Oryzias latipes: one gene and its partners. The protein of the gene in region 1 purifies or fractionates together with the protein of each later gene. This does not show direct contact. Links are inferred from orthologs where the notes say so. Each region holds a gene or a part of one and is shown on either strand. Other genes may lie near its edges. The genes, in order: exoc8, exoc2, exoc1, exoc5, ras-related protein Ral-B, exoc3 and exoc7.

Evidence for each region.
Region 2: the proteins of exoc8 (region 1) and exoc2 purify together in Homo sapiens (affinity purification with mass spectrometry; 7 studies listed by BioGRID and IntAct, counting the BioPlex papers as one, with this or other methods). This does not show direct contact. The link is inferred for Oryzias latipes from reciprocal best matches to the Homo sapiens genes EXOC8 and EXOC2.
Region 3: the proteins of exoc8 (region 1) and exoc1 purify together in Homo sapiens (affinity purification with mass spectrometry; 3 studies listed by BioGRID and IntAct, counting the BioPlex papers as one, with this or other methods). This does not show direct contact. The link is inferred for Oryzias latipes from reciprocal best matches to the Homo sapiens genes EXOC8 and EXOC1.
Region 4: the proteins of exoc8 (region 1) and exoc5 purify together in Homo sapiens (affinity purification with mass spectrometry; 5 studies listed by BioGRID and IntAct, counting the BioPlex papers as one, with this or other methods). This does not show direct contact. The link is inferred for Oryzias latipes from reciprocal best matches to the Homo sapiens genes EXOC8 and EXOC5.
Region 5: the proteins of exoc8 (region 1) and ras-related protein Ral-B purify together in Homo sapiens (affinity purification with western blotting; 6 studies listed by BioGRID and IntAct, counting the BioPlex papers as one, with this or other methods). This does not show direct contact. The link is inferred for Oryzias latipes from reciprocal best matches to the Homo sapiens genes EXOC8 and RALB.
Region 6: the proteins of exoc8 (region 1) and exoc3 purify together in Homo sapiens (affinity purification with mass spectrometry; 5 studies listed by BioGRID and IntAct, counting the BioPlex papers as one, with this or other methods). This does not show direct contact. The link is inferred for Oryzias latipes from reciprocal best matches to the Homo sapiens genes EXOC8 and EXOC3.
Region 7: the proteins of exoc8 (region 1) and exoc7 purify together in Homo sapiens (affinity purification with mass spectrometry; 4 studies listed by BioGRID and IntAct, counting the BioPlex papers as one, with this or other methods). This does not show direct contact. The link is inferred for Oryzias latipes from reciprocal best matches to the Homo sapiens genes EXOC8 and EXOC7.

Annotation. Positions count from the first base shown.
Region 1 is NC_019882.2:17,525,120-17,529,820, reverse strand, and holds the start of exoc8 (exocyst complex component 8), read left to right. Parts: upstream 1-1,431; 5' UTR 1,432-1,558; coding exon 1,559-2,708; intron 2,709-4,701. Other genes in the region: sprtn (sprT-like domain-containing protein Spartan), read right to left, coding at 166-485. UniProt on the Homo sapiens protein: Component of the exocyst complex involved in the docking of exocytic vesicles with fusion sites on the plasma membrane.
Region 2 is NC_019862.2:21,227,815-21,232,063, forward strand, and holds part of exoc2 (exocyst complex component 2), read left to right. Parts: intron 1-1,768; coding exon 1,769-1,885; intron 1,886-4,165; coding exon 4,166-4,249. UniProt on the Homo sapiens protein: Component of the exocyst complex involved in the docking of exocytic vesicles with fusion sites on the plasma membrane.
Region 3 is NC_019862.2:97,502-101,750, reverse strand, and holds part of exoc1 (exocyst complex component 1), read left to right. Parts: coding exon 1-126; intron 127-211; coding exon 212-321; intron 322-4,249.
Region 4 is NC_019880.2:12,941,507-12,945,388, forward strand, and holds part of exoc5 (exocyst complex component 5), read right to left. Parts: coding exon 3,822-3,882; intron 3,739-3,821; coding exon 3,544-3,738; intron 2,200-3,543; coding exon 2,135-2,199; intron 1,930-2,134; coding exon 1,901-1,929; intron 1,808-1,900; coding exon 1,698-1,807; intron 1,564-1,697; coding exon 1,519-1,563; intron 1,431-1,518; coding exon 1,290-1,430; intron 1,211-1,289; coding exon 1,128-1,210; intron 1,036-1,127; coding exon 826-1,035; intron 566-825; coding exon 418-565; intron 337-417; coding exon 228-336; intron 1-227. UniProt on the Homo sapiens protein: Component of the exocyst complex involved in the docking of exocytic vesicles with fusion sites on the plasma membrane.
Region 5 is NC_019870.2:7,306,595-7,311,399, reverse strand, and holds the start of ras-related protein Ral-B, read left to right. Parts: upstream 1-1,680; 5' UTR 1,681-1,823; intron 1,824-2,961; exon of another isoform or gene 2,962-3,027; intron 3,028-3,438; exon of another isoform or gene 3,439-3,569; intron 3,570-4,805. Other genes in the region: nepro (nucleolus and neural progenitor protein), read left to right, coding at 1-30. UniProt on the Homo sapiens protein: Multifunctional GTPase involved in a variety of cellular processes including gene expression, cell migration, cell proliferation, oncogenic transformation and membrane trafficking.
Region 6 is NC_019875.2:5,005,547-5,009,795, forward strand, and holds part of exoc3 (exocyst complex component 3), read left to right. Parts: intron 1-1,601; coding exon 1,602-1,814; intron 1,815-2,148; coding exon 2,149-2,327; intron 2,328-3,007; coding exon 3,008-3,124; intron 3,125-3,211; coding exon 3,212-3,329; intron 3,330-3,747; coding exon 3,748-3,873; intron 3,874-4,249. UniProt on the Homo sapiens protein: Component of the exocyst complex involved in the docking of exocytic vesicles with fusion sites on the plasma membrane.
Region 7 is NC_019877.2:22,402,771-22,407,019, reverse strand, and holds part of exoc7 (exocyst complex component 7), read left to right. Parts: intron 1-1,968; coding exon 1,969-2,037; intron 2,038-2,215; coding exon 2,216-2,361; intron 2,362-2,955; coding exon 2,956-3,108; intron 3,109-3,185; coding exon 3,186-3,284; intron 3,285-3,363; coding exon 3,364-3,426; intron 3,427-3,499; coding exon 3,500-3,566; intron 3,567-4,249. UniProt on the Homo sapiens protein: Component of the exocyst complex involved in the docking of exocytic vesicles with fusion sites on the plasma membrane.

The DNA of each region.
Region 1 (4,701 bases):
TTTATTTGAGAAAAAAAAATTTTTTGCTTTCTCTAAAGCTTTTATTTCCCTGTTTCAACGTTTCCATTAAAAATCCATTGTGTTTTAGTTTTGATCTAAATCGGTGAGGTCAGTTTAGGCTCCGAAACAGCTTAAACCAAATGTCCAAAGTCAGAATAGACTCACAGGGTCATCCTGGGACTCCACTTGACCTCCACTCCGCTGAGTTTGCCCCAGAAGAACATGTCATTGAACTCCAAAAACATGGCTCTAACATCAGGGCTGGGATCCAGCATCTCCCAGGAATCATCCACGATGCTTAGCGGCCGCTCAACGCCGGAAGTTGGCTTTCTATCCCTGGCCCCACCGGCAAGCTCCACTTTCCGCTTTTTGCTGTTGTTTCCGAACTCCCCTTCGTTAAAACTTAGAGATGAAACCAGTGAAGATTCATATTCATGGTCAAACTGCTCCTGTAGCTGAACGGCGAGCAGAAAGTCCTCGTCCATCACTGCTGCTATTTTGCCATTTAGCTTTGGCTAACCCGAACTTCTAAAAACCAATCAGTGCGCCAGTTGTACTACATTTAGCAGTGTAAACTCATAAAGAAAAAAACGAATTTATGTCATCATTTTTTCGCAAAACGGACGCTTAAACATAAAAACGGAAACAATTTAATAAAAAAGAGTAAGAAGCTGGAGCCAACAACTTCCTGTCATCTTCCACAAACCTTCCGGTAATGTTTTATTTTATTTTTTTCACAATAAAACATATTAAAGTTTTTGTTCAAAGTATTTTGAATATCTAAACGTAGGCACGTATGTGTTTTCTTAGTATATTATTAATTGAAATTGAAAGCCGCGTAGCTTTTAAGGAAATTGTTTTTGCATCAATGCAATTTTACTCTGTCTTTTGGTCTAACCTGCTGTCAAGTTCCGCGAAGTCCCGTACGTGATTGTTTTTCAAATTAAAAAAATGAGTTATTAAAGGCGTTTTGGTCCCAAATATGGTTACTTAATCATTTTTGTCTATTATAATGATATGTTTTAAAATTAATTGTCTAAACTAAAACACTGTGATATATATATAACATGGGCACTTTTTTATGCTCAGTATATCAATATATATAGTAAAAAGAAAAATTCAATAGTTTAATTTGGGTAGCTTTGACGGTGATCTTTTTTTTATAATTCAATGTAATTATTTTGTATGCTTTGGTTACCACTTCCGGTAAAGATTGCAAGCATCGCTAGCACAAATATTAGCGATGGGTTCTGGGAACTTTAGTAAACATATATCTGATATTTAAATTAAATTATTCAATTGTTACAATTGAATAAAGTTTACGAATCATAATCAAAAATTTATATTATCTTATGCCTAAAGATAATCAAATAATTTTTTTACGATTTTATTTTTAAACTTTTTCTGATCACGTGACGTTCGGGTGTTGCTGCTTACAGCTTCCTGTTGGAGTGAAAGCGGATGTAAAAGGAGCTTCGATGCACTCGTCTTGTTCGTACATTTCATAGCCATTTTACTAATATTTCGCGTTCGTAAATAATTGCAAACACAGCTAAAGATGTCGGAAACAGGGAACCGGCTGCGGAAACTTCTCGAATCTCCCAATTTCGATCCGCAAACGTACGTCAAACAGCTGTCACAGCAGTCCGACGGCGACAGGGATCTGCAGGAGCATCGGCAAAAAATCCAAAACCTGGCCGACGAAACGGCCCAGAATTTGAAGAAAAATGTCTATAAGAACTACAGGCAGTTCATTGAAACCGCCAAAGAGATTTCCTACCTGGAGAGCGAGATGTACCAGCTGAGCCACATCCTGACGGAGCAGAAGAGCATCATGGAGAGCATCACCCAGGCCTTGCTGTCCACAGACAAGGATGAGACCTCCAAGGAGATGCAGGCTGCTTTCCCCAAAGAGACGGAGGAGGTGAAGCAGAGGGCGCTCACCTCTCTGCTGGAGAAAGTCGAAGGAGCCAAGAACATCATGGACATCCCGGGGAGGCACCTAGTCTACAACGGAGACCTTTTTGAGTTTGACGTGGACAACATGTCCCCCATCCAGAAGGTCCATGCTTTCCTCATGAACGACTGTCTGCTGATCGCCACCTGGCTGCCCAACCGCAGAGGCACCGTGAAGTACAAATACAGCGACCTGTACGACCTGGAGAGCTTCGCCGTGGTCAACGTCAAGGACAATCCCCCCATGAAGGACATGTTCAAGATCCTCATGTTCCCGGACAGCCGCATCTTCCAGGCAGAGAACAGCAAGGTCAAGAAGGAGTGGCTGGAGATCCTTGATGAAACCAAAAAGAACAAGGTGTCTAAGGACAGACACAAGAAGGAAGAGGAGGCTCCCACGTCCCCCATCAGATCTGAGGTGTCCACCAACCCTTTCGACCTGGAGGACGAGGACCCAGCAGATGCAGAGGAAAGCGCAGAACTTGGTATCGAGTGGATTCAGGAGCTCCCCGAGGACCTGGACGTGTGCATTGCCCAGAGGGACTTTGAGGGAGCCGTGGACCTGCTGGACAAACTGAACGAGTACCTGAAGGACCAGCCCTCCACTCAGAAGGTCAAGGAGTTGAGGTCCAAGGTGGACGAGCGGGTGCGACAGCTGACTGAGGTGCTGGTGTTCGAGCTGTCTCCGGATCGGTCACTCCGTGGTGGACCTAAAGCGACCCGACGTGCCGTGTCCCAGCTCATCAGACTAGGTCCTGGTTTGGTTCTTTTCTTAATTTCCAGAGAAACAGAGAAGAGATGATGTTTGACTAACTTCCAAAACATTTTCTTTAGTCCGTTAAAGCCAAAAAAAAGGCAACATTTTTAATTCAAACTTTTATTTAGGAGCATCAATGTCGTTTGTTTTGCAAAAAAAAAAAAAAGTGTTCAAAGCCCACTCTTCTGGATCTGTCAGGCGGGGAAGTGATGTTGAAAAAAAGTTTCTTTTAATTTAATTTTAGGTTTTGAAGGTCAACATTTTAAGGGACCAACCAGTGTAATCCTGCTTTACTCCTGTTTGGGGTAATGGGGTCACTGGAGCTAAACCAACAACTCTTCAGTGAAGGCGGGGTTCGCCCTGGACAGTTCGCCTTCCATCACAGGGCCACACAGAGACAAACAAGTTCACACATTCACACCTAAAGGTCAATTCAGAGTCACTAAAGCTTTAGCCACATGGACCTGTACGGGGGCTGACCTGTACAGGTGCCCTGGGTTTTTGGGTTGTCCAGGTCTGTGGAGGGGAGTAGAAAGTAGACCGGCCAGTTTAAGGCGCATCTTAACAGGAGCACAGGTGTGTCTTGCAGTTCCCTTGAAAATGGAACCTACCATTGTGTATGGTAAGCATATTGTGAAGTATTTGTAAGGCTAACATAAGTTACACGCACTGATAACATACGGGTGATGTTGCCGAACACCGCCCAAACTGCCACACTGTAGTCGTTATTAACCCTTGTGCTATCCAAGGCACTTTAACATTGGGAGTTGGGTCATCTAGACCCACTAGACAGTTCGCTGAACCTTTTTTCTTCAATGATTTGTGATCTTCACTGGTGTCCATGGATTACATGAAATCTTTCCACCTTTATCCACCTTTGTCATGGTAGGGAGAACATGTCAATGTAAGGGTGGGGTCATCTAAGACAGCACAAGGGTTAATGAGTGAGTACTGGTTCCTTACTGACTCCAAGCAAATGCTGACATGTAAGTGTCCGTAGGACAGGACACTCACACAAACTACACCATTATCATCAAATTTCTAATGCTACGTTAACACCAGGCTTGGAAATGCGTGTTTGAGTGACCACTTTCAATGAAAATTCTATGTAAGTGCTCACGTAAAAGCCCGTTTTGGGCCTCCGCGTTCAAAGCTCTCTCGTTGACGCGTCTCTACGCAGGTTTTTAGGTCAGTTTTCAGGCTCTACGTACAAAACACGCAATCGAACGTGTGCTGAAAGTTTAACTAGTTGTACTTTGACCAATCAAGGACTCTGATTTGGTAGTGAGGTATGAGTAGCATCCTTTTCAAAACACTGAATCTTGGAGGTGAAATACTAATTGCGGTTTGTGCCCGGCCAAAATTCTATGACACCAAGGCCTTCCTTTATCAAAATAGAGCTGTGAAAGAAAAAGCCTGGAGCAAGATTGGCACCGCTTCAACATTTCGCAGGAAGCATCTTATAACTGTGCGCTACTATCGGGTAGCGACAGTCCAGTATGAGCACGTATGCTGAAAGTGCGTTCAAGAACCCGCGTTCAGCGCCATGCATGCCCAGTGTGGAGTTAGCATAACAGTCAGGCTACACAGAAGGAGTGCGCACTTATCACTTGAACAGCACCGTGCGCAGGATTTGGGGGGGTAAAGAAAACTATAAAATACGTAGAACATGGCTGCGTCTCACCTACTTCACCCTTCCTTTCCCTTATGTTGTATAAGTATTCATTACCACCTGTTGCCTGCAGCATTCCCAAAGACAAAATGTGCAAGAGCACTTGGCTGTACAGCCCCACACAGGTTTGCCTATTTTTCTACCACAGGGCAGTTGTGTCCAAGGCTTTACCACCTGTGTGTATTACTGCAAAAACATGGACTCCATTTTGAGTAGATATCTATTTTTCAAGTCTATTGAAACCCGATTTTTATGGTTATTACTTTTTTTACATAACTATTGATGTAACCTAAAGAAAAGTGGATTTTGAGTCACT
Region 2 (4,249 bases), on another chromosome or scaffold:
GAAAAAACACAAAACAGGCCTTGAAGCTGCAAATGCATTGGTCTCTGCTTCCGCTCCTCTGAAGAGCCAAAACTGCTGTGAAGCTCTCCACAAATGTGAGCAGGATGTAAACATACAGTGGTGGACAAGATTGTTGGTACCCCTCAGTTAAAGAAAGAAAGTCCACAATGCTCATTGAAATGACTTGAAACATTCAAAAGTAACAATAAATCCAGAGTGGACTTCATGGGAGGTGACCAAGGAGGACACCACTGTTGAAAGGAAATCATAAAAAAGCCAGACTGGAATTTGAAAAAATGCATGTTGACAAGCCACAAAGCTTCTGGGAAAATGTCCTTTGGACAGATGAGACCAAACTGGAGCTTTTTGGTAAGGCACATCAGCTCTATGTTGGTAGACTCAAAAATGAAGCATACAACGAAAAGAACACTGTCCCTACTGTGAAACATGGAGGAGGCTCAGTTCTGTTTTGGGGCTGCTTTGCTGCATCTGGCACAGGGTGTCTTGAAGTTGTGCAAGGTAAAATGAAATCTTAAGATTATCAAGGCATTCTGGATAGAAATGTGCTGCCTAGTGTCAGAAAGCTTGGTCTCAGTCGCAGGTCATGGGTCTTCCAACAGGACAACTATCCAAAACACACAGCCAAAAACCCCCAAGAAAAGCTAAGAGAAAAGCGTTGGACTATTCTGAAGTGGCCTTCTATGAGCCCAGATCTGAATCCCATTGAACATCTGTGGAAGGAGCTGAAACATTCCATTTGGAGAAGACACCCGTCAAACCTGGGACAACTGGAGCAGTTTGCTCATGAGGAGTGGGCCAAAATACCTGTGGACAGGAGCAGAAGGCTCATTGACAAATACAAAAACTGTTTAATTGCAGTGATTGACTCAAAAGGTTGTGCAACAAAATATTAAGTTACGGGTGCCATCATTTTTGTCCAGCCCTATTTCATTAGTTTAAACAAAAAAAGAATTCTGTTAATCAACAACTCAAAAGTAATGGCTGATTTTGATTATCAAATTTTCAATAAATTTTAATTTATTGTTACTTTTGAACATTTCAAGTCATTTCAGTGAGCATCGTGGACTTTCTTTCTTTAACTGAGGGGTACCAACAATTTTGTCCATCACTGTACATCTATTTTAGGTGTGGTTCAAATACACGCATAGGGATGTTATTTTATATTCTCTAATACAGTCAATGGTCCACCCCTGCTTACCCCATCCTTACCCCTGAAAAAGGAGGGATTGAAATAGACTTTATCACTTATTTTCATCCCCCCCCCCTCATCTCAGAGGTCTTTTAATTATTTTATGCCATTTTTAGGCAAAGTCTAAAAACCTGTGTTAGTTTCTAGGACATAGTTTCTGTAGAGCAGCAGTCGTTCATTAGAAACTCTCCTCTGAGTTGTGGGTGGGACCGTTGGCGTGAACCAAACCCCTTCCCTCCCGGTGGCTGAGAGCTTTAAGCAGGGAGCGTTTGGCGTATTTTCTACAGCTAAAAAAGCTAATTTTCAAACTTCATTTTTTTTTCTGTTCCTGATTCGCAACGATTTGAATAAAGAAATACTGAGAAATGCAATTAATTTCTTTATATACATGTCCTCCATCTTTAGAAAAATGCCACAGACACATGTTAAAATACCAAAACACCATTTTCTGCAAACTAGGTCTTCAAAAACATGTGATTATTTAACAAAACGAGTTTGTGCTGGAACAAGGTCTTGGGCTTAAATTACAATCTAACTTTTCCTTTCTTTTATGAACAGGAGCAGCGTTTGCTGATCATTCTGAGCAACTGCCAGTACCTGGAGAGACGCACCTTCCTGAACTTGGCGGATCACTTTGAAAAGCACGGCTTCACGGGAACAGAGAAGATCACGCGGGTCAGTACCTGCTGCTGTGACCTGCAGCTGTTACACTCCTATTGAGGAGAAGTGTGGAGGCGTCATGAGAAGAAAACAAACTACAACAACTAAACTGATCTGTGTGTTTTTTTTCGTTTCTCAGCAAAGGGATGACTAATGAAAAGAAAAAGTCACACTTTTCACCTCTGTTCTCAACATAGTCACACTGCTGCACACAATGACTAATGGCTGAATCACAAAGCTAAGAAGGGTTTGATCTGTTGATTTTCCTGTAAAAACTCACTTTATTTGAAAGATTAAGTTAAAAGTTTGAATTAGACCCGAAAGCATGATGCCTATGATAATTTGTCTAGACTGCTGAGCTGTGCTGCTCCACATTAAACACATTTAACGGTAAACAAGAAAAAGAAGAAAGTATTGAAGGGTTGTACCACTGCTGCACATGCTGCCTTTACAGCATTATTAATAGGAGCTGGTGTCAGAGCAGCATAAATAATGCTAGCAGCTGCTCACAAACACACCATGTGACCAGTTCAGATTGTGCTAACTTATGTAGTGTGCTAAGTTGGTTCTTTTACTCTTTGTCTCAGTCTGGTTTCTTTGCAGTGTTACTCCAATGTCAGATTGAAGGATATACAAGATTTTAAAAAAATCCATCTTGATGCCTGAAAAATTAATTTAGGAGGGTTTAGACCTATTATTTATAAATAAAAATTGGGGGGGGGGGGGGTCTATTTCAATTAAGCCTCAGTTCAAACCATTGACTATATTTGAGAACTGGACTGAGTGACTCCTCCCCCCTTGCATTCCAAACAGGAAGTACCTGCTGGTTCCAAGAAGCTAGACTTTTTCAGAGAAATAAACGGCTATTGCTCAATCATTCCATTTGTAGGAATAACCGTTCTTACTCTGCTACATTTTTTGCTAATCCTCTTTATTTACCATTATTATTATTCTTTATTTCAAGTTATTCAAGTATATTCACTGAACAATCAGATGCCTCAATGAAGGTATGCGTTTTAAGTCAATTGTTTGAAAAGTTTGATTGACAGATTCTACCAAGACCACTTTCAAAAGATAGGGGTGTGACCTTTCAACAAGCTTACTCCTGGTTGGCAAGAGTGGTCGCCATAGAAACGATGACTCAAACTGATTTGGACCAATCACTGCTTACTTACGATTTCTGGCTCCAACATGGCAACATCTACATTGCGAAAAAATGGCGACTGAATTGACTTCATTTGGTTGGAGCCAGAACAAAGTCAGTCCAGTTCTCCTTTATAGTCAATGGCGTAAGCCAACTCTTTCATAATATTTAATTCCATCTCTCTTCCAGCCAAGAATTAAGCTGATGGCAAAGAAAAAAATAGTCGATCATAGTATTAAACCTTTTTTCTTTTCTTTTTGAAAATCTTTGTGTTTCTCCACACTGCAGAACAACACAAAGAGGAAAAAAGATTCATAATAACACATTTCAATTTTTCTGCTTTAGGTTATGCTTATGGATGTGTTTAAGACCCAGGTCTGGATGTCACTTTGCTCCTCAGCCAAGCATGTCAAAGGATAGTAAACATTAGATCCGTTCAAACAGAATCTCTCTGGAATGAAAGCATAAGTACTGCATTCTGCTGCTCTAAAAGTGCAGGAATGGATCCAATGTTAAACGGACATTTAGCACACATTTGTTTGTTTGTACATTTGTTCACACTGGACTGTCACTACCCATACTAGCGCATGTGCCTAAAGTTGGAAGAGGCTTGGTTCGAAATGTCAAAGCCCTGCAAACCTTATGAATCTTGCTACAATTCTCACAGTTCTATTCTGAGATATGAAAGACTTGCTGTCATAGAATAACGGCTGAGCCCAACGTGCAGCTGTTAATTTCTCTTCCACGATCAATTTTCAAACGTTGGGCACTTCCGTCAATTAAAGGGATGCCATCCATGCGTCACTACCAAATCAGAGTCTCTGATTGGTCAAAGATCAAACTTGTTTAACTTTCAACATGCTTTTGATGACAGCATGTTTTGTACATGGAGCCTAAAAACAGTCCTAAAATTGTGCGTAGCGACACATGAATGCTAAAGTGTTGAACACAGATGCCCTAACGCACATATATGTGCGTTTACAAAGACTTTTCAATGGAAGTGATCTCTTGAACGTGTTGCAGATGGCGATGTAAGCAGCTTAATCCACTTTTTATTCTTTTTAATTTCTTTTTTACTTTCCACTTACAAGGTCATGTCCAAAGAAATAGATGACAGCAGCCATCTTTCTCTTTCCCTCCTCGTCCTCCAGGTGAGCATGGACGCCATCCGAGAGCTGGACCGGAAACTCTTTGAAGCTTACATCGAGCGGCGTGCCGACCCCATCGCCGGCTCC
Region 3 (4,249 bases), on another chromosome or scaffold:
TGGACTTGTCTAAGGGACACATCAGAGCTCTGCAGGATGGGGACCTCACCTCCTCTAAAGGAATTGAGGCCTGCATCAACGCCTCTGAAGCCCTTCTGCAGTGCATGAATGTTGCCCTCCGACCAGGTAAATTTACATGAAGCCTTGTTATCGTGATCGTCTGTTTTTTGTCTTCGTTTGAATGGAAAGTTGTGCACCTTTCTCTGTTCAGGCCATGAAAAGCTGTTGTCTGTGAAACAACAGCAGCAGATGTTTACCGATCTGAGGGACACATTTGCCCGCCGCCTCACCAATCACCTCAACAACGTGTTTGTCCACCAGGTAACACACTCGCCATTATTAGAACTTCTTTACCAGTACTTCTGCTGAGGTTTACAAAAAAAGGAAGAATACAGTCAGAGACATCTAAAAGCTGCTATGAGATGTGGATTTAATGTTGTATTTCCATGTAAAAAAAATTCAAGTACGAACTTTTCTTTTTAAAATAATCATGGAGGAAATACTTTTTTGATACCTTGCTGATTTTGAAGGTTTGCTTACTTAAAAATAGACAGCCTGTCATCCTAATGATAGGTTCATTTGAACAGTGAGAAATTGAAAATGTCTTTAATGAATTAATATGCATTTATTTGCATTTCACTGAGGGAAATAAGTACGGTATTTGATGCCCAAGTAACCATTAAGAGTTCTGTTTCGCACAGACCAATTAGATTCGCTTAATCAACCTGTTACCTGAATTGAAGACGCCTGTCCACAGAATCAGTCCATTAGTCAGACTCCAAACTCTCCAACATGGGAAACACTAAAGAGCTTTCAGTGGATTAAAGGGCGACGATTGTACTCTTGCACAAGACCAGAATGATTTGCAGAACCATCAGCAAGAAGCTGGGGGTTAAGGTGACAACTGCAATTGGTATAAAATACATGAACATGACCATCAATCCACCTACAGTCAGGACCATAAATATGTTGACATAGATGTGAAAAACTAAAGCATTTTCTAAACACAATCCCTTCATTTCATGGGCTGGTAAGTAATTGGACAAATTAAATAACTGAACAACAAAATGGTCATTACTCACTTCCCATGAGTCTTGGGGGCTTAAGGTGGGGCTATCCCTCAGGTCGCCACACTGTGTTGTAGATTGAGGATGTACAGTGAGGTCAATAAGTATTTGATCACCCTGTGATTTAGCAAGTTCTCCCTCTTAGAAAACATGGAGGGGTCTAAAATTTTCATCATAGGTGCATTTCCACAGTGAGAGACAGAATCTGAAGAAACATTCAGAAATCACGTTGTATGATTTTTTTTTAAACGATTTATTTGTATATTACTGTGAAAAATAAGTATTTGATCACTTGATTATCAGATAGATTTCTGATCAGCAAAGACCTGCTGTTCTGCTTTTAAATAGTCCAACTCCACTCTGCTCATGATTCTAAATTAGTGGCACCTGTTTGAGGTGGTTAGCTTGCATAAAGGCACCTGTGCCCCCCCCCACAATCAGTCAGAAGTCTAACTATCAACATGGGCAAAACCAAAGAGCTGTCATAAGACGCAAGAGATAAAATTGTAGACCTTCATAAAGCTGGAAGTGGCTACGGGGCAATTGCCAAGCAGCTTGGTGAGAAAAGAACAACTGTTGGAGCAATTGTCAGAAAATGGAAGAGGCTAATGATGACTGTCAATGTCCCTCGGACTGGGGCCCCTTGCAAGATCTCACCTTGTGGGGTATCGATGATGCTAAGGAAGGGGAAGAATCAGCCCAGGACTACACAGGAGGAGCTGGTCAATGACCTGAAGAGAGGTGGGACCACCGTTTCCAAGGCTACTATAAGTAATACATTAAAACGTCATGGTTTAAAATCATGTATCGCATGGAAGGTTCCCCTGCTGAAGTCAGCCCATGTCAAGCCCCGTCTGAAGTTTGCCAATGACCATCTTGATGATCCAGAGGAGTCATGGGAGAAAGTCTTGTGGTCAGTAAGAAGCCTTGTAAGAAGCATATCAAAATAGAACTTTTTGGTCTTAACTCCATTCGGCGTGTTTGGAGGAGAAAGGAGGAGCATCATCCCAAGAACACTATACCTACAGTGAAGCACGGGGGTGGAAGTATCATCTGCACAGGGGACAGGACGACTGCACTGTGTGAAGGAGAGGATGAACTGGGCTCTGTATTGTGAGATATTGAGAAAAAAGCTCCTTACCTCAGTCAGAGCGTTGTAGATGGGTCATGGCTGGGTCTTTCAGAATGACAATGACCCGAAGCACACAGCCAAGAAAACCAAGGAGTGGCTCCGTAAGAAGCATATTAAGGTTCTGGAGTGGCTTAGCCAGTCTCCAGACCTAAATCCAATAGAGAACCTTTGGAGGGAGCTGAAACTCCGTGTTGCTCTGCGACAGCCCCGAACCCTGACAGATCTAGAGAAGATCTGTGTGGAGGAGTGGGCCAAAATCCCTGCTGCAGTGTGTAGAAACCTAGTGAAGAACTACAGGAACCGTTTGACCTCTGTAATTGTTAACAAAGGCTTCTGTACCAAATATTAAAGTTGTTTAACCCAAGTGATCAAATACTTATTTGTCACAGTAATGTACAAATAAATTGTTTAAAAAAATTGTACAACATGATTTCTGAATGTTTTTTCAGATTCTGTCTCTCACTGTGGAAATGCACCTATGATAAAAATTTTAGACCCCTCCATGTTTTCTGGGAGAACGTGGGAGAACTTTCTAAATCACAGGGTAATCAAATACTTATTGACCTCACTGTATATGTGCTGAAACCGCGTGCATGTTTAAAAAAGAGGAGGGAGCTGCAACGGAAGGAGGGGAGAACGGGAGAGCAGCTCCTATCTCCTTCCGCGGCAGCAATATGGTAGTAAAGGGGCTGGTTAATAAAACATACCAGTAAAAGAGAGCAGTAGTGACTTTAAAGCGCCCCTATCAGCGCGGCATGCGCTAGAAGTTTCCTTCCACAACAGTGTCACACCGTTGCTCCGCGGACGCCTCTGCGCTCCGCCCTTGCCCCGCGGGCTCCTTGTCTTTCCCTTCCTATCTTCTCCGACACCCCTCGCGAGGGGGGCACCAGGGAAGAGCACTTCGTGCCCCCTGACGTCCAGTCCCTGCACGCGGGGCGCGGCTGCTGGTGGACGGAGCGAACCGTGTCTCTGAGCAGCGCAGCCGGACTTAATTTTTTGTGTTCGAGGGGCGGGGAGGATGCTTTGTTACGGGAGGGAGGCTACAGACTGCCATCTGTCCCGCAGCACTATGTGAACGAGCAGCCGAATTCAGGAGAACCACGTCTCCATCTCACACAGCGGCTTTTTGGCAGTGTGTGAGCTCTTCAAAGCAAAATGCCGCTCAGTCCTTAGAAACCGTTCAAACACGTGGATTTGTGTTTCTAGTCGTGTCCTGACAAAAGAAAGGCTTATGTTATTCCCACATATTTACGTTCAGCCAAGCTGCAGATTGTGGCATTTCCTGCATCAATTTTATGTTCATCCAGGCTAAATGTTGTTGTTAGCGCATGTTAGCCTTCACCTAACCATTCTTCCGGTTTCGTTCTGCCGCAAAAAAGCACTGACCACACGGATAAAAAATAAAATGATGAGCTAACAGGCGCTTCATAATAACCATAACAATAATATAAGCATGCGGTGGGGGGGTTCATATTACACCTGAGCCGGGGGTGTTCGTGTCCCTGGGGGGTGGGTCCTGGTCCTTGCCCCTGGGCGCTGGGCCCCGCCAAACTTCCAACATGGCCGAGCCTGGTCGGGCCATATTTATAACATCCCTTGTGGGCCGCCCTTTTTTCCCCGGGGTTCCCCCCTCCTGGGCGGGGGCGGCGGGCCCCTGCCTTGCTCCTACCTGGACCAACCGTGGGCCGGGTGGGTGGCTGCCTGGAGTGCGGAGCGGGTCTCCCTTGGGGGGTCCTGGCTCGTACCTGGGGTCGGGGCGGGGGGATGCCCGGAACTCCTGGGTGGTGGTGGGGTGCTCGTCTGGGGCTGTGGGCGTCCCTCTCCGGTGGGGCCCTGCGTTGGGCTCTTCCGGCGCGGCGGGGGGCTGCTTTCCTGGCTGGGCTGGGGCGGCGCTCTCTTTCCCTCTGCGCCTCCCTGCTCTCTGGCTCTGGGGGCCTCGCGGCGGTCCTGCTGGCCCTGGCCTGGGTGGCGGTCTTGGTCGCCCGGGGGGCGGTTGTTCCCTGCCTGTTCCCGTGTGGCATTGGGGGAATTCCGGCTGCCGCTGCTGCTG
Region 4 (3,882 bases), on another chromosome or scaffold:
CGCAAACTTAAGCTATATTGATCATTAAATGTTAATGCTTATCGGCTAGTGAAAAAGAGATTCTAGCTCTAAAATGTTTCTAGCTCTTCATTATTGTGGGAGATCCTCAGGTTATGCTTTATTTAATGTCCCAACTTCCTGAATCTACTGCTTTGAAGCTCCTAATAGTGAGAAGAATGAGCCCTCAGAAAGCAGTTTAAGAGTACAATTTGGTTCATCAGAAGTACCTGAAAGGCCAATCTCCAGAGCGTAGTCGATGTGGTCCACACACAGATGTTCAACCAGCAGTAGGAAGATGGAGTAGGCATTTTTAGGCAGATCAGATGGATCTGAAAGCTGTAATAAAACAAAACAAAAAATCACCAAAGTCTGCGTTTATACATGTTCCTTCACGTTACAGAAGGAGAAGAGGCTCACCCTGTGACACCTCTCAAACGCGTGCCGAGTCTCCTGCAGCAGATTAACAACCAGCTCGGGGGACAGGAAGGTCTCTCCATGGGTGTCAAGGCTGGGGCCCAGTGGAAGGTTGGTGCGCTGTCTGATGCGCTCCTTGAGCTCCTGAATACTAAAGTAAAAACAAAAAAACGTTTAGCATTTTGATCTTTTTGTATGAAACCCTAACGTTTATTTGAGACCAAAAATGGCTCTTTAAATGATACCACATTTTCCTTGTTCTTGTTTTTTTTTTAAATTATATTATTAATTATATTATTCTTAGTCTTTTCTCCTGTCAGTTGTTATGGTAACGAACAAATTTCCCACGTATGGGATCAATAAAGTATTTCTGATTCTGAAATGCTTCATGACGTTTATGCTAAATCGTACCTGCCAGAGCCTATTGCACGTTTCTGGTGATTCTTTGAGTCATAGTATCGTTGCAGAATCATGGCACCTCGATTACGAAGGTATTCCCTTTCCATGTCAATGTAACTTTCCAAATAAGAGGAAAAGATGCTTTTTATCAGCTTGGAAAGGAACGTATGCTTGTCTGAACCAAGGTTGAACTCTGTTAGCTTGGTAGCCAATGCTGTGGTCCTGAAAGGTCAGAAAAGAAACAGATAAGAACAAAAAGTGTTAGAGTTATAGAGCATACAGGAAGTAAATTAGAAAAAGACAAGCAAAACCACCTGGTGTAAAGGTCATAGAGGTTTTTGAGGTACTGTTCTGCATCAGACTGTCGAGTTCCATCCAGTTTCTCTCTAACGTGCGCCTGTAAAATAAACAGCCAGCCAAAAATCAACAAATGTTTAAGTAATGGCACATCCAAACTCAATCACTGGAAAACATACCTGTAGTTTGTTTTCAAAGATATTCTGGATGAGTTTAGCCATGACTGTCTCTGGACTGCTGAAGACCTCGGCCACCTGCTTGTTGACCCTCTGGCAAAGCGCTGCGGTGTCTTCAAACACATCGTTCCTCGTGTAGGCACCCTGAGACAGGAACAACAACAAAAAATGGGTCAATTAAAGCAGCCAAGTCAAAGGCAGACTTTTTTCTTGCCAAACTTGAAGTACTCACTTCCTGACACTGCTTGATGTAGACGTCCACGCAGTGTGCATAACCCTATTTAGACAAACACAGGCGTTACCACCTTGATAGTCCAAGAAAATGACTATAACATTCAAAGTTGATGTTTTCAGACAGGCTATGACTCCAACACTCAGTCAACGTGTCTTCAGATGTCTTTTCCAGGTCACCTTGAAATGTAATAGAACTGCTGCAACCTCCCGCATACGACCAATCTCACCCCTGCGCTGGGCTGCAGTAAACTCCTGGATTAACTGCCTCTCCAGGTCGTGGTATTTGCCTGGGCAGGAATGAAAACAGAACCTTAAAATGTCGCAAACGCGTGTTACATCGTAGTAAAAATGGAGGACGATCGACCCGGTCAGAAACTTACTTGCAATTTTTGCTTTGACATCTGCAAATCTGTTACAGATAAAGTGCGCAATTAGAAACAATAGATATAAAAAAAACAGAAGGAAAGTTTCTTTGGGGGCATCTTAGTCAATAATACCATCTAATGCTTAATGTTTCTGTGGGGCTTACACTTTTCAGGAATAGACTAATACACCTCCTCCTTCTTGTTTGACAGCGCTCTTGTCTAAAGCTGCCTCCAGGATGCCTGACTCACCTGTCAAATGGCAGCTCCTGGGCAATGAGATGCAGCTTCTGAATTATATCAGCAGCTTCCTTAATCTGAAAGAGAGGGAACAAGTGTGTGTTTGAGAGGGAGCGAGGGAGATGCCAGCTGAGGGAGGAGGAGAGAGGGAGCACAACAAAGCCATTAGAGGTGGACATCCATTATCAAGTGGGCGGCCGCCGGCAGTGTCTCCACTTGGGGGATCATCATCTTAGAGCAGCCTTCCTCCACCTTCCTGTGTTTAACAGGGAGCTGATAACAGACAGGCTGCGCTCACCTGGGCATCAGCAGCAGCAACAGCAGCAGTCCTGACTTAGCAGCACATCCAAGTCTTTATTGGGATGGCTTTTTCCTGAATGGGCTGTAATCCCACAGGAGTCTGAATTGCCTTCAATAATCTGTCCGGCCAGGGATATCTGTCTAAAAAAAAGGGGGCCCTGCCGAGATACCCCTCCACCCCGCCCTCTCCACCTCTCCTGACATACATGCTGGCGAAAAAACCTCCAGACCCGCAAAAGGTCCGCTGTCCGCAACTCCTCTGTTCCTGCAGATGCCTGTCTCAGCTAACATCATTACTCTGCTCCCGTGAGGAGGATCCAGCCTTTCTGCTCGGCGAAGGTTTTCTAAGTATCTGTCCCCCAGCTAAGATTAGCTAAATCCCATGTAAGTAATGTAGCCGTCTCCCTGCAGTCAGGGTTTAGCAGCACTTGTCTCCACGCTGGCGGCCCAGCCCTCCCTTTCAGAAGGATTAGCAAAGCCATTCCCCTTCAGCTATTCACTTGCAGTTTTTCTCTTTCCTCCTCATATGGAGGTATGCTCAGGAAAAAGGAATCTGGCTTGATACATCTGCATGCATGGCTCAATCTCAAGCTCTCGTCTGTGGGATTGACCCTCAAACCTCCCTCTCTGCATCTGGTTGAGATGTTGCATCAAACACACATAAAACCCAAAAAAAACCCCAATGTGTCTACTTTGCAGAATCAAACTCTCTGGGGTCACTTGTTCTGAGAAAACATTGAATCATTTTTTCCATGACTAAAAAAATGTGTTGCAACAAACTTTCTGTGTGTTGCAAAGCTGACCAATCAAATTCTTGATCCCAGTCATCCCACTTTACATGCAATTAGGTTTGACATGAGCGTGTTGACATCCATGCTAGTCAGTCAGCCGGCTATTGTCAGACAGCAAATGACAGTTTATTAATCCAAATTAACTGAGGGATCCAACTAAAGGGATAAACTTTATAAATTTCCATGGATGGTTCAACTCATAATCCTGTTCAAACTCACCTACAGCAGTTTCCCAGCAGGGCCCCTCATCAGTGGTTTCACACCCACACATACCTCTTCATATATGACAGCAAAAAAAAAAAAAAAAAAGAAACTAGACGATAATCTCACCTTGTCTGGGTCATTGAAAACATCGCTACGCAGATCTCCATCCAAAAACTCGTTAAAGTAAGTCATGAGACGCTGAGCTTCCACGGCCCTCTGGCGAGGAGTATTCACCCCCTCCAGCTGGTCACCTAGGTGACAAACCTTGGTGGCAACGTAGCTTATGTGTTCATCGAGTTCTTGGAAATGCTGAAAGGCCACCTGACATGACACAAAACGAAGATCTAGCGGTTAACCAAAGAGAATAAAGTTTGTACGATGTTGTTTTCTTTCAGCAAACAGACCTGGTTACTCCTCTGGAGGTCTTGCACTTTGCGGGCAAAGTCCTTGGCCTCTCCATGACAC
Region 5 (4,805 bases), on another chromosome or scaffold:
GATGCTATATTTGCCTCTGTAGGTCTGTGAGACTTCAGTTTATGAGAGAAAACATGAAATCAAGCGAGTGCAAACGCCGTCATGATGATGGGAAATGCGGCTCCCAGCACAGAACTGTCATTGTTGGTAAACGAAAGAGCCTCCAGCCAAAGAGGGGGAGTGATGCAGGTCAGTGTAAGTGTGCCTTCTGTGTGACATCCAACTGACTAAAGAAAAATAACTTTATTGTCATTGGACAACAACCTTTAGCAGCAACTCCCTTCTGCAAAAACACTGCAAGAACGTCAAACGGTTTCTGTGACTTTCAGGACAGAAAATGAGATCTGACCTTGACGTAACAAACCCAAATGGAACATGACGTTTAGAAGAAAATCCCCTCCTGGTGAAAATTCTCTCACATGATGTAGTTTGATTTACAGCCAGAGTTTACAAAAAGAGGTCATTTTGTGATGTTCTGGCACCACCTGGTGGAGAAGACGGTTATTGCACCTTCAAAATCATTGACCTGAACCACTTCACCAGACCCAAACAGCTTTGGTTGTTAAGTGTATTGTTTGACCTTATCAGTTGTGATTTACGTTAGTGCTGTCATACACAGCACTAACGTTTTGTTTTAAAGGATTAATTACTGATTACCTGTTTGTAATCTGACCTAATAACTGCTGAGGTATTTTTATTTACATTTGTGACATTGTGGTGCAGTAAAAGATCCAAATAGTTTAAAAAGTGACAGTGGACAGTAAACTACATTTGATTTACGAAAAACAAAAATAAAAAGGTATTTGCAAGTCCTTTTTTTTATTTATTTATTATTTTTGAGCACAATACAAAACAACACCAGAACATTTACATAAAATTCCCAAAATATGGTGGATACAAGAAAGCATAACGCAATTTGAGAGGAAGCAAAAAAGAAAATTCTTATCAGTATGCATACATAAACCTATCCATATTCATAATCATAGAGAAATTAGGGAAAAGTATAACATAAGAAAACAACAATTTCAGAGTTGGATAGTGTTACAAAATGCAGGGGAATACAACAGATAAATAAATTGTCTCAGATACTGGGAATATCACGCAAGGTGTCATAAACTGTTATGGCTTTAGGTGAATCGATTAACGTTATGGATTGTAAGTATAAATTGACCTCATTGGTAAAGAAAGTAAAGCTGGGATGACATTTCTGTAACCTATTTTTGTGTATAAAAAACTTGGCTAAGCATAACGCAGTGTTGATACATACATTATTTACATTGTTGTGTAGTGACAGGCCAAAGATTGTTACTTCTTTCGAAAAGAAGTCCATGATGAATGGGAATTTATTTTTTAACCATTTGCAAACATCCAACCAGAACACTTGTACAACACCACACAGGAAAAATGTGTGGTCGATGTCTTCAACAGCAGTTTGGCAGAAGGAACAGCTGTTGTCATCAATGTTGAAACGTAATCTAAGTAATTCTTTGGAGGGATAAATATCATTCATAATTTTGAAGTGTGTTTCTTTAACTTTTGGGGAAATATGAAGTTTCATGAAAGCGGTTCTTTATTTAGTAACATTTTGTTCAAATTTCTGCAGTATATTGTTTTTGTTCTGTCGTCCAGGAAAAAAACCTTTCAGGTATTTGCAAGTCCAGTTATTTTTCCTCCAACGGAAATCTGTCCTGACGTCACTTCCTGCCGTTCGGTCTGAATTGACTTCCGGAAGGCGGGGACTGCTGCTGGCAGCAGTTTTGTAGCTCCGATGCTTCTGTCAGTCACAGGGAAGCAGCCGGGAGGAGAGCATCTTCTGAAGGCTGAAAGTACAACGTGTTTTTTCGGTAAGACATGTTCAAACGGATTGGAAGAGGTGAAGCAGCTTTGTGTTTCTGGGTTTATGGACATGTAAAGAAAGAAGCGTCGCGTGATGTTAAAGGGGAGGGAAGGTGGCTGACAGAGAGATGACCGCCCCAGAGAGACAGACAGAGCCGTAACTACTCAGGTTTTTATGTGTTCATTGCTATTTGTTCTCATCTGTCTGTTGGTTTCAAATAAATTAGTTTAAAGTTCGGTTATCCATCAGTTTTGTGGTTTTGAGCGGACTGGCTCAGTCGTTCCCGTTAGTTCCCTGGCTGCGCGGCCGTTGCTAGGCAATAACGGGTTTAAGTCCGGGTCTACCGCTAGCTTTACTGCTGTCGTTCCGCTTCTGTCTGTTAATGTTTACGGGAGTTCTGGATAATATTCTCTGACCGAACAGCTTATGATATTCAGATGGGAGGACATGCCATCATGTTGCCGTTTGAATGTCAAAACTAAAACCTATTTCTGGTCAGATAACAAGCCAATACTAGTCTATAAAAAACACCGACCGGCAGGTGTTTTCTAGATCCACCACCTTTCATGCATTTGATTATTAGCAGACTTGAAAATCAGATGCAAATAAAAGTTGCTGAATCTATTTTCTGTGCGAATACATAAAAGTGAGCTGTATGTTTGCAGATGACAGTGTTGTGTGTCAGACTGAAGGACTCTGTTGGCAAAGCAAAACACACCTTTCCCAGTCTGAGGAACACTCCCATCAATAGGAATCCCTTAAAATGTATTTTAAATGTTCCAGCAGGGATATGAACTGCCAGTGTTCAATTGCACACGGACGCCCCCGTGCCCCCCTCCCCTTCGTCATAAACGACTCCTTCAGACAATGCTGATCCCAGCACATTCCCAGCAGAGTCAGGAAAACCAGGACCTTACTCAGCTTTTTTCCAGTCCCTTTGCAAAACCTTAAAGATACTTTGAACTGTTTTTGACACATGCCCATCACAGAAGACTATACTTTAGTGTAACTAACTTTTTTCAATTAGAAAAACAACTAATGCAAAACACTTTGCATGTAGATCATCTCAATTAGCAAGTAGTTTCAAAGGCTCATGTTGCATTTGGTCATATTTCTAATCATCTTGTTTTATTTCCAATCGTCAGATGTAACCAGATTGTAAAAAGATAAGAATCATTTTTTCTGGATCCACTCTGCAGTCCTCGCCACAGGTCAGCAATAATGTGTTTTATTGTGTTAATTTAACTTTTCAAAGCTTTTCGATTTTTATCGCCTTCATCTCTTTTGCTTGATTTTAAGCTTTTTGTATAAAACGTAATCATCTTTAATTTTTTTTTTTGAAGAAGCTCTAAATCATTGAAAAAAAAGTATTTAGTGTGTATTTGTGTTTCTAAAGAATCATCTGGCAAGAAGTTTTGTCGTGGATAAAGAAAACTTATTACACATAAGCAGAAAAATTATATAATCCAGTTTTTCAAATCTAATTTTAAATATTTTTACTGCAAGAATGAGAATGTTAAAAGTCGTTTTCAGGTCTTTACTTCTCAGACATCAGTTGGAAATATCTAGTCCAGCTGAGAAACGTTGAAACTTTGAGCCATAACATCTTCATCTTCCCACAGTTCCTCACTCCTTCTACCCTTTTACTGACATGTTCACACACCGGCTCTCTGAAGATGCTGTTTGGTGCTCCAGTCAAGGACAGCGTTGAAAACACTGATGTTTCTCACGCACTGATGGCAAAAACGGAAAGGTTAGCTTTCACGAAACAACCCGCTATCCTAGTATTTTATAAATAGACACCAGTGTTTAGCTGTAAACACAGAAGTTGACCTTCAGCCCTCTCAGGTCTTTCAGGCCCAAATAGAAAATGTTTCCTCTGGAGCGTTGTTCGCGTTTGCTGACTGGTTAACTGAAGGCATTGCAGGACCTAGGCTCTGTCCCAATTCCCACCCTAACCCCTAACTGCTAAAAAACTTTATAGTGCAGCAGAATCTAGTGCCGTGAATTTTAAAAGCAATTCGGACACCATGCTCACTACTTTTCTTTTTTTTTTAAACGGCGGATATGACGTCATCAAATTCACATTGTTAAAATTGTATTAATATGAGCAATTTATCAATCCACTGTTTTCTGAAGATAAAAATGGTTTATTAAAAAAATACATTTAACTACATTTTTGGGCGTAAATTGTTCCAACGCAATGGATTGTGGTCTATATTCGCCAATCTAGTGAGCATTGATGCACACTAGTTTTTCGCAGAGACTTCTGGGAAATTTTTAGGGCATTTTGGAATCGCATTCGGACAGCACCACAAAATGTCGACGGCACTATACAGGGCACTATGTAGGGAGTAGTGAAGGAATTCGGACACAACCCTGATAAAGAAGGAATGCAGCTTCTGTCCTGTCAGTTAGTGAACGGAGCGATTCTCCTAGCAGAAGTCAAAAGGTTTGTGTCCAACCCGATGCTGAAACGCGAGCGCCTCCCTGCTTGTTCTGGATCCTTGATTGCTGAGGCAGATGTGTTTGGACACCACGGTCCTGTTCGGCTTCAGAGGGAGAGCCAGCTGTCTGATGTGAACGCAGAAGCCATTTCTGCACACATTCTGAATCCTGACCCCCCCCCACACCAAACACATCTGATGCTGAAGTTGAGGGATTTGAACAAACGGGGTTTAGGTCTCATTGCCCAGTTTAGTCAAAGGCGTCTCTGTGTGCTGCTGCTGCCGGGGCTTGTTAGTATTCGTCGTGCGATGCTTTTTGAAAATGTTTTCTTTGCTGCTGCGTGGCGTCCTCTTAAGAATAGTAAATCGTTTCCTGATCTCCATAGGCTGTGGCTGTTGTAGATGCTGGATCCCAAAGACCAAACACATTTCTGCTCGGCCCCGGGAGGGATTTGCTGTTAAATTATGTATTGTTTGTTGTGTTGCGATAAACAAACCGCAGAGAGTCTCATATCCCAGTCTTGTGCCACAGAAGTCTTAGT
Region 6 (4,249 bases), on another chromosome or scaffold:
CCTCTACACCCTGTTCACCCACGACTGTGCGGCCTCTCATAAGGACAACATCATCCTGAAGTTCGCTGATGACACCGCTGTGATAGGACGCATCACTGGCGGGGATGAAGCAGCCTACAGGAGGGAGGTGGCCAGTCTGGTGACATGGTGTGAGGACAACAACCTCACCCTCAACACAGACAAGACAAAGGAGATGATAGTGGACATGAGGAAGGAGAGAAGGAACCCTCATCAGCCGCTTCTTATCCGGGGTCTGGAAGTGGAGAGGGTGAGCAGCTTCAAATATCTGGGGGTCCACCTCAGCCAGGACCTCACCTGGGCACTAAACACATCACAGCTGGTGAAGAAAGCTCATCAGCGGCTGTACTTTCTGAGGAGGCTGAGGAGGTTCGGCATGTCCCCAAAGATCCTCAGTAACTTCTACAGCTGCATGGTTGAGTCCATTCTAACCAGCTGCATCACAGTGTGGTATGGCAGCTCTACCGCCGTGGACCGCAAACGCCTGCAGAGAGTAGTGAAGACTGCGTCCAAGATCACCAGGACTCCTCTGCCCTCGCTGCAGAGCATATACAAACGCAGGGTCTGCAGGAGAGCTGCCTCCATTGTCAAGGACCCCACCCACCCGCAACGAGGACTGTTCACTCTCCTCCCCTCAGGACGGAGGTACAGGAGTGTGAAGTGTAGGACCACCAGACTCAAAAACTCTTTCTTTCCCTCTGCCATCAGACTCCTTAACAGCTGACAGGAGTCTGAAACAACAACTGCACCTTTGCACATCCCCACTGTCCGCTACTGTTATTGTCACTTTTGCACTTTAGTATTGCCACCCGACATCTTGTGTTTTGTGCGTATGTTGTGTTTGAATTTTTCTTTTTCTTTTTTTTTTTTTCTTCTTCTTCAGTTTCCTCTCCTTTTGGCATTCGGAGCAGGCAGCAAAGAAAGAATCTCATTGTACAGGGAAACCCGTTTCTTTATTGTGCATATGATAATAAACCTCTTTGAATCTCTTTGAATATTAAATAGCAGCGGGCCCAGAATTGATCCTTGTGGAACACCACAACTTATCCCTTTGGCTTCTGATGTAAATTCATCAATCTTCACAAATTGTTTTCTTCCCGTTAAATAGCTTTTCACCAAGTTAGTGCTAGTCATCTTATCCCATACCCTTCCAGTTTGTCAAGTAGGATTTCTTGATTGAGAGTCAAATGCTTTTTTAAAGTCAATGTCTGTGCTGCATATTTCTTTTTGTCCAGAACATCTGTGATTTCCTCCACGCATCCATGATAGTCAATGAGACTGATCTGTTTTCTCTAAAACCATATTGGTTTTCATTTATAATGTGATGGTGATGTTTATCAAAAACTACAACTAATTCATCATTAAAAAATTTTTCTAAAATTGTTGAGAATTGTGGGAGGAGAGACACAGGTCTATAGTTGTAAATGGGTGTTTGTCTCCACTCTTAAGCACAAGTTTGTTTGACTTAAGCTGGCTTCTCCCATGAATGAAGCTATCATTCATTCGATTGTTCAGATACTTATCAGGACATAAACTGTTTTAGCTGTTAACTGAACTGCCACCTGTCTTTGTGCTTCTTCAAGGTTCAATCGCTGTCAGATGAGCTGGCCAAGCAGTTATGGATGGTTCTGCAGAGGTCCATGGTCACAGTTCGCCGTGACCCCACCATGCTGGTGTCGGTTATTCGCATCATTGAGCGGGAGGAGAAGATTGATCGGCGAATGGTTGACCGAAGGAAACAGACCGGATTCATCCCACCTGGGAGACCCAAACACTGGAAGGACAAGATGTTTCAGGTCAGAGGAGCAGCCAGACCAGCGGTCCTTCATCAAAGCTCAGCAGAATTGAATTCTTTTACATGTTTAAGAAGTTCTTCCCTTTAATCTGGGCCTCGCCTGTCTGATGATCATCAGGTCCAACAGTCGCGTCGTAGTTCTGTTAGAACTCTGGGAACATCTCGTGTTAGGATGAAGTGTGCTCTGTTTTCAGTGTTGGATTTTCTATAAGAACCTGATACGGAATCAAACCAAAATAGAATTGGTAATGGTGCAGTAAATGAGTTCACGCGGTCTCACAGGCTTCAACTCAAACAACAGGAAAGCTAGAACCTGCAACCTCTTTGCTCTGCAGGTTCTGGAGCACACCGTCAGCACTCGCATCGAGGGCACGCAGTCCGTGACCAGGGAGGCGGACAAGATGTGGCTGGTTCGCCTACTGGAGATAACCAGGAAGTACGTGGTGGATGACCTCATCATTGTCAAAAACCTCATGGTGCAGTGCTTCCCCCCTCACTACAACACCTTCAACAGGTAACAGGTCCAACACATTGACTGTATAATACATAACTGTGATGTCAGCCACGGAAAATACCTTGCTTCTGGTTCCAACCATTTGAAGTCAATTGAGTCGCTATTTTTCCGCGATGTGTCCATCGCCATGTTGGAAGCAGACGTCCTCAATAAGGCCATGATTGGTCCGTCTACATTTCCATGGCAACTACTCTTTCTAATCAGGAGTGAGTATGTTAGCAGGCCACACCCCTTCCACTGGAAGCAGGTTCGGGAGACTTTTATTGATTGGCATCTGATTGACCAGTTTATAACTTGAATAATGCATATTTCTGTATAGAAGTCTGTGGGATTTTGGCTTCTTGGAAACAGCAGGTACTTCCTGTTTGGAATGGCAGGGAGAGGAGTCTCTCAATCCAGTTCTCATTTACTGTCAATGGTTTACATCATCTTTTCTGCCCGAAGCCATCTTTTAAAGTAAAATATTGATGCACAAATGCCAGTTAGGGTTTGAACCGTAAAAGTGGTTGCAGCTGAACGCTTCTTTCTTTTCATTTGAAAATTCCTGGAGTGTTTTGAGACTCTGGAGTGTCCCATCACCGATCAGTGCTCTCTTGACTGTTCTTGAGAAGCTCTGACTGCGGGAGCGCTCGTGTTCCTCAGCAATGTCCTGCAATCAGGAAGGTTTCTTCTGGTTTCAGATTCTTTAGCCTCTACCACGCTGCTGTGTCTGCTCGAGTCAAAGAACTGGCCTCTGAGGACCTGGAGGCCAATGAGATTGTATCGCTGCTCACCTGGGTTTTGAACACCTATAAGAGGTTTGTTTATCCATCCATCCATCCATCCATCCATCCAGCCACACATGGAGGAGACATGTTCAGACAAAGGGTGGCTCTGTGTTTCAGCGCGGAGATGATGGGGCATCCAGATCTGTTTTCAGAGTGTGACATCAACCAGTTGGAGCCTCTGCTACCAAAGGAGGTTGTGGACCACCTGCTGAGTAAATACATCCAGACCTTCACAGTAAGCATTGAGCGGTGCAGAGATCTTGTTTCTAACAGGGCTGAAGGCTGATTGAAAAAATGCATGAACACAGACACTGAACTCACCACAAGATGAATGTATAGCCAAGATGGGCTTTTGGGGCCCCGCCCCCTTGAGTCATAATTACATAAGATTCTGTTTGTGGGTGTCACTGTTTCAGATCCAGTCTGTCTCTGTGACTCTCGGTTAAGAGAAAACTGAAATAAAATGTTCCCTGCATTTGTCGCTCGAGTGGTGTTTTCCCTCTGAGCAGCAGCTCTGCAGGCCAACCCAACCCTGCAGGTTAACACGTGCATGTGCACAACCGCGACCTCACTAACTCACCCAAACTCTGGTTTGCTGGTTGCTGATGGCTTCCAAACGGGATGCTGACGTGACTGTGGGTTTGTGCCTGCAGCTGAATATAACCGGGTGGCTACGGAAGGCTCTGGAAACGGACAAGAAGGACTGGCACAAAGACAGCGAGCCCGAGGCTGACCAGGACGGGTACTACCAGACCACTCTGCCCGCCATCGTCTTTCAGGTACGGCGCAGTCATCGCCAAAGTCTGTGATCTCGCAGGCCTGGTTGGTGGTTTGCTGGTTCTGGTCTGCAAGGTTTACTATTGGGGATCTGTTAAGTTGGGCCAACCAGATTTATATTTAGATAAACACATTTTTTAATTAAAACTAAACTTAATTTGTTTGTTTGGGGTTTTCATTGAGTTCTGGTCTGGACATCCAGGACGTCTGCTCTCATACAAACATCTGTGCAGAGCAGGCAGGTTTGCTCAGGTGAGTGTGTGCTTTCTAGAAGCCACTGTGAGGTTCCTGCATGTAGAGGACAGATGAGAACTAGGGTTCATTATGTTTCCCTCTCACTTGTTTCTTTAGCCATTATGATCTAAGAATCGATGCGTG
Region 7 (4,249 bases), on another chromosome or scaffold:
TATCCCTCTGAAAAAGCTGACTTTGGTCTGCAATGTTCATTATAGAAACATTTTGACACAATGTGAATACAGAATCCAGAAAGCACAATGTTTGAGTTTCTTTGTATAATAGAGCAGAAAATAAATGTTCAGTCACTGAGAAAAGTTCATCTCAGTACTTTGTAATGTGGTTCCAATGACAGAGGTCAAAGGTTTGGAACCGATAGACTTTTTGTAACTGTCAGTAGCAGTTCCATTGTGGGTGGTTCATCAGGGAAATAGTAAAAAAAAGTTGAAAAAAACATTATATAGTAAGAAACAGCACAAGGCTGGCTCCTGTTCCCCACAAGGTTTCCTGAAGATTTTCAGACGATCTGAACTGTAGTTGCTAATTTGGTCCATTCTTCCATGCAGATCTTCTCTAGAGCTGTGCTGTTTTTGGGGCTGTTGCTGGGCAACCACTCCCTCCACAGATTCTCCATGGATTGAGGTCCAGGGACCGTTGGAACACTCTAGAACCCTGAAATCCTTTAGACACTCTTTACTTTGCTGGGTGATCTTTGGGGGATTCTTTTAGTAATGCTGGAAGATCCAGACATGTTCCATCCCTGATGTTCTCCCTATTGGAAGGAGGTTTTTGTCCAAAATCTCCCCATACGTGACCCAATTCCCCTTTTGCTTCATACGGATCAGGCCGGTCGTTGACCGGCTCCCCCTGTAGTTCTGGACTGTGTACAAACTTGTCCCTGGTGTCCTCAGACAGCTCCTTGGTGGAGAGGTCTGCCTGTATAAGGGTGTGGACAGGTGTCTTTTCTACAGGTAACCAGTTCAAACAGGTGACATGAACACAGGTAACCAGTGGAGGATAGAAGAGCTTCTTAAAGAAGGAGGAACGGGTCTGTGAGGAACTGAATCCTTGCTGGCTTCTAGATGAATCCTTATTTTCTGCTCCATTATACAATCATTATTTAAAGATCAGACATTGTGATTTCCTGCATTCTTTCTTTACATTTTGTCTCTCACATTAAAGTGTTTCTATGATGAACATCTCAGACCAAACTCAGCTTTTTAGAGGGACGACCTGAGGAATCTGTGGCTGACAAATATGTTTTTGCTTCACTGCTTTAAAGCAAACATTTGTCTTCAGGCGTTTTTAACACAAACCTCACTTGAAGTCAATTGGCTCTGCTAAAAAAATTTCTTTTAATAAAGTTCAAACGGATTTTTTATTTTAGTTGACCCGGCTTTGAATATTAGGTTGTCTAAAAATGCAAAATAAATGCATTTACACCAACAATGTTAAGTTCAATTATTCCAATGTAATTCAGTCTCCACTCCGTCCTTTGCCCCCACAAAGACATGTTTTTAGAAAACCTACAGATTAACCAGCAATCCCATCAGTAATGAAATTAAAAGGTTTGATATGATGAAGATAAAGTCAAAAGTGGCACAAGCACCCAAATCTGACCTCTTACTTCTTTAAAATGTCTTTTTTGATTGATTCATTTATGCATCAATTCAATTCAAGTTTATTTGTAGAGCCCAAATTCAAACAACAGTCGTCTCAATGGGCTTCGCACCGGTAGACCATGAACACATGAGACCTTTCTCCCATTAATAGCTTTCAATCAAGTCGGGTCGGGAAGTTATCAGGAAAGAAGAATTCATTTTCTGCTTAAACTCCCATCCAACTGATAAACTGGTGTCAGACGTGGGGTTTTCCCATTTTCCCATCAGGAAATCTGTCAAAAGCTGCAATGAATCCAAAGCTGTTGTGACATTTGAAGCTGGTTTTTGTCCCACAGTTTAACATGTAGACTGGTTCAGAACCAGTTTACATTTCACTCATCTTGGGTGGGCACGCCCTGCCTTTTCTCTCTGGTGCTTGGTGGTGGGCGGTTCAGGTCAGGTTTGTCCCCTCTCCCCCCTCTTAGCCTAGTCTTGACCTCGTTTTGACTAGTCTCCCTGCTGGCCCGCCCCACCCACCAGGTTACGATCATGACCCACGGGTCAAACACATCACTGAGGCCCTGACTGAGAAGCATGGGGCTGCCCCAGGTGAGTGACGAATTCCAGAAGTTCAGAGGTTGATCAGAGAGGCAACCTCAGCTCAGTTTCTTCCTTTAACAATCAAGTTCTTATAAAGTAAGAAGTTAAACTCCGGGCTGAAGTTGTTGTTTAGATCCTTGTCTTATGTTTTGTCAGCTGACGGGAGCTCTTGTTATGCAACTCTTAGGGAAAGACGATGTTCTTGACATCGAGATCGACTCCTACATCCACTGCATCAGTGCCTTTGTGAAGCTGGCTCAGAGCGAGTACGCCCTGCTGACCGAGATCATCCCTGAACACCACCAGAAGAAGACCTTTGACTCCCTCATCCAGGTCAGAGGAGTCAAACCAGGGAGCTTTCATTGAGGATTTCCCAGACAATTTGGTTTTAGGGGTTAGACGTAGTGACACAAAAGTATTCAACAATCCTTTTATCTGTAATCACCGGGCAGAAGTACAGCATCAGATATGCAGGAAGGGCTCTTGAGGATTTAATCAGGTGCTGCTGTTGAAAGTAAAGCTTCTGTAGAACATCCACCTGAGGTTCCAGGTGTTGGTCATTTGCTAAAGGTTTCCCTACCATCTACAGTAATGAAACTCCACAGTCAAGAAAAAATAAACCAAAGCAACAATCAAATTTGAAACCTCATTCTCCTCTGATTGCTGACATCAACCATCCAGTTTTTTTCCTTTTTTAGGTCATTCTCTGTTTGTTGGTTGAGTGTCCAGTAGATGAGCAGTTGACGCTAAAAACTCTTTAGTCACTCTTACTGTTTTTCTTCACCGTATCTGACCATTGATACCATAGATTACCATAGACACGGACACCTTTTATCTGGCTGAAAGGATTTTAATGATTAAAAGCAGGACATTTTTCCCTAAGCCACATTCTGGTTGCATGCTCAGTTTCATCATGTCTGTCCACAGGAAGCATTGGACAACCTGATGCTGGAAGGAGACAACATTGTGTCTGCAGCTCGCAGGGCCATCATGCGCCACGACTACTCGGCGGTGCTCACCATCTTCCCCATCCTCAGACATCTGAAGATGAACAAGTCAGACTTTGACTCCACACTTCAGGTTGGGTCTGCGGCGTCTCATTTCTGGAAGAAGCTGGTCTTGGGGTGTTTAGCGACTGTACTTGATTTGACGTGCAGGGAACGGCGGCGAGCACCAAGAACAAACTGCCAACGCTCATCACGTCCATGGAGACGATTGGAGCCAAAGCACTGGAAGAGTTTGCAGACAGCATTAAGGCATGCGGCTCCCACTTAAACCACCCCTTGTCTATTGGCTGCTGGTCATTTACATGGGTTTTCTCTCCACTAACTACAGAATGATCCTGATAAAGAGTACAACATGCCCAAAGATGGAACAGTGCATGAGCTCACCAGCAACGTAAGCTTGGTTTCTGCTCTGCACTGCCTCTCCGGTTATTTGCCGCTTGTTTGAGCTCTCTGTCTCCGTTCAGGCCATTCTGTTCCTGCAGCAGCTGCTGGACTTCCACGAGACTGCAGGAGCCATGCTGGCATCTCAAGGTTTGCTCCTTTGTGTAGCTCTGCAGACGTCCACCCACCACCTGTCTGTCTGAAAACATCATGGCAGATACACAAACACGAGCACCCAAAGGGAATTCAAATTTCAAGTCAGTGCCAGGCATCCATTTCTTCCTTTCCAGCCTGCTCATGTCAAGAATTTGATAGATTTTAGCTACAGTGGGGGACAGGAGAGAGAAATATTGAACAGGAAGACAGTTCCTGCCAAATGACAGAGGAGAATGGCGAGAATCTGCCTGGAATTTTGCAAACCAATAGAAACAAACCTGGAGACACAGAGATAAGTGCAGAATCTCATATTAGCTGGAGAACGAACCATCTCAGTTTCTCCTTTTACCGTAAGGTTCAGCTTTTTTGTGTTGAGTAGCCACTGCTTTTTAAGCCAATAAGACAGTAAAATGAATGGTGCGCGCCGATCGACGAGCATATATTGAGGAGCTTGCTGAGGAGGCAGAAAGAGCTACAACCCGAGGAGAACAAGGCCAGCTGTACAGAATTAGTCGACAAGTATGTGGAAAACACCACTCTACTGTCAGCTTACCAATTAAAGATAAACAGGGGAAGCTTCTCACAACAGAAGCAGAACAAGATACCCGCTGGGCTGAACATTTTCAGGAAGTTTTGAACAGAGATCCACCAACAGAAGGAGCAGATATTCCAGAAGG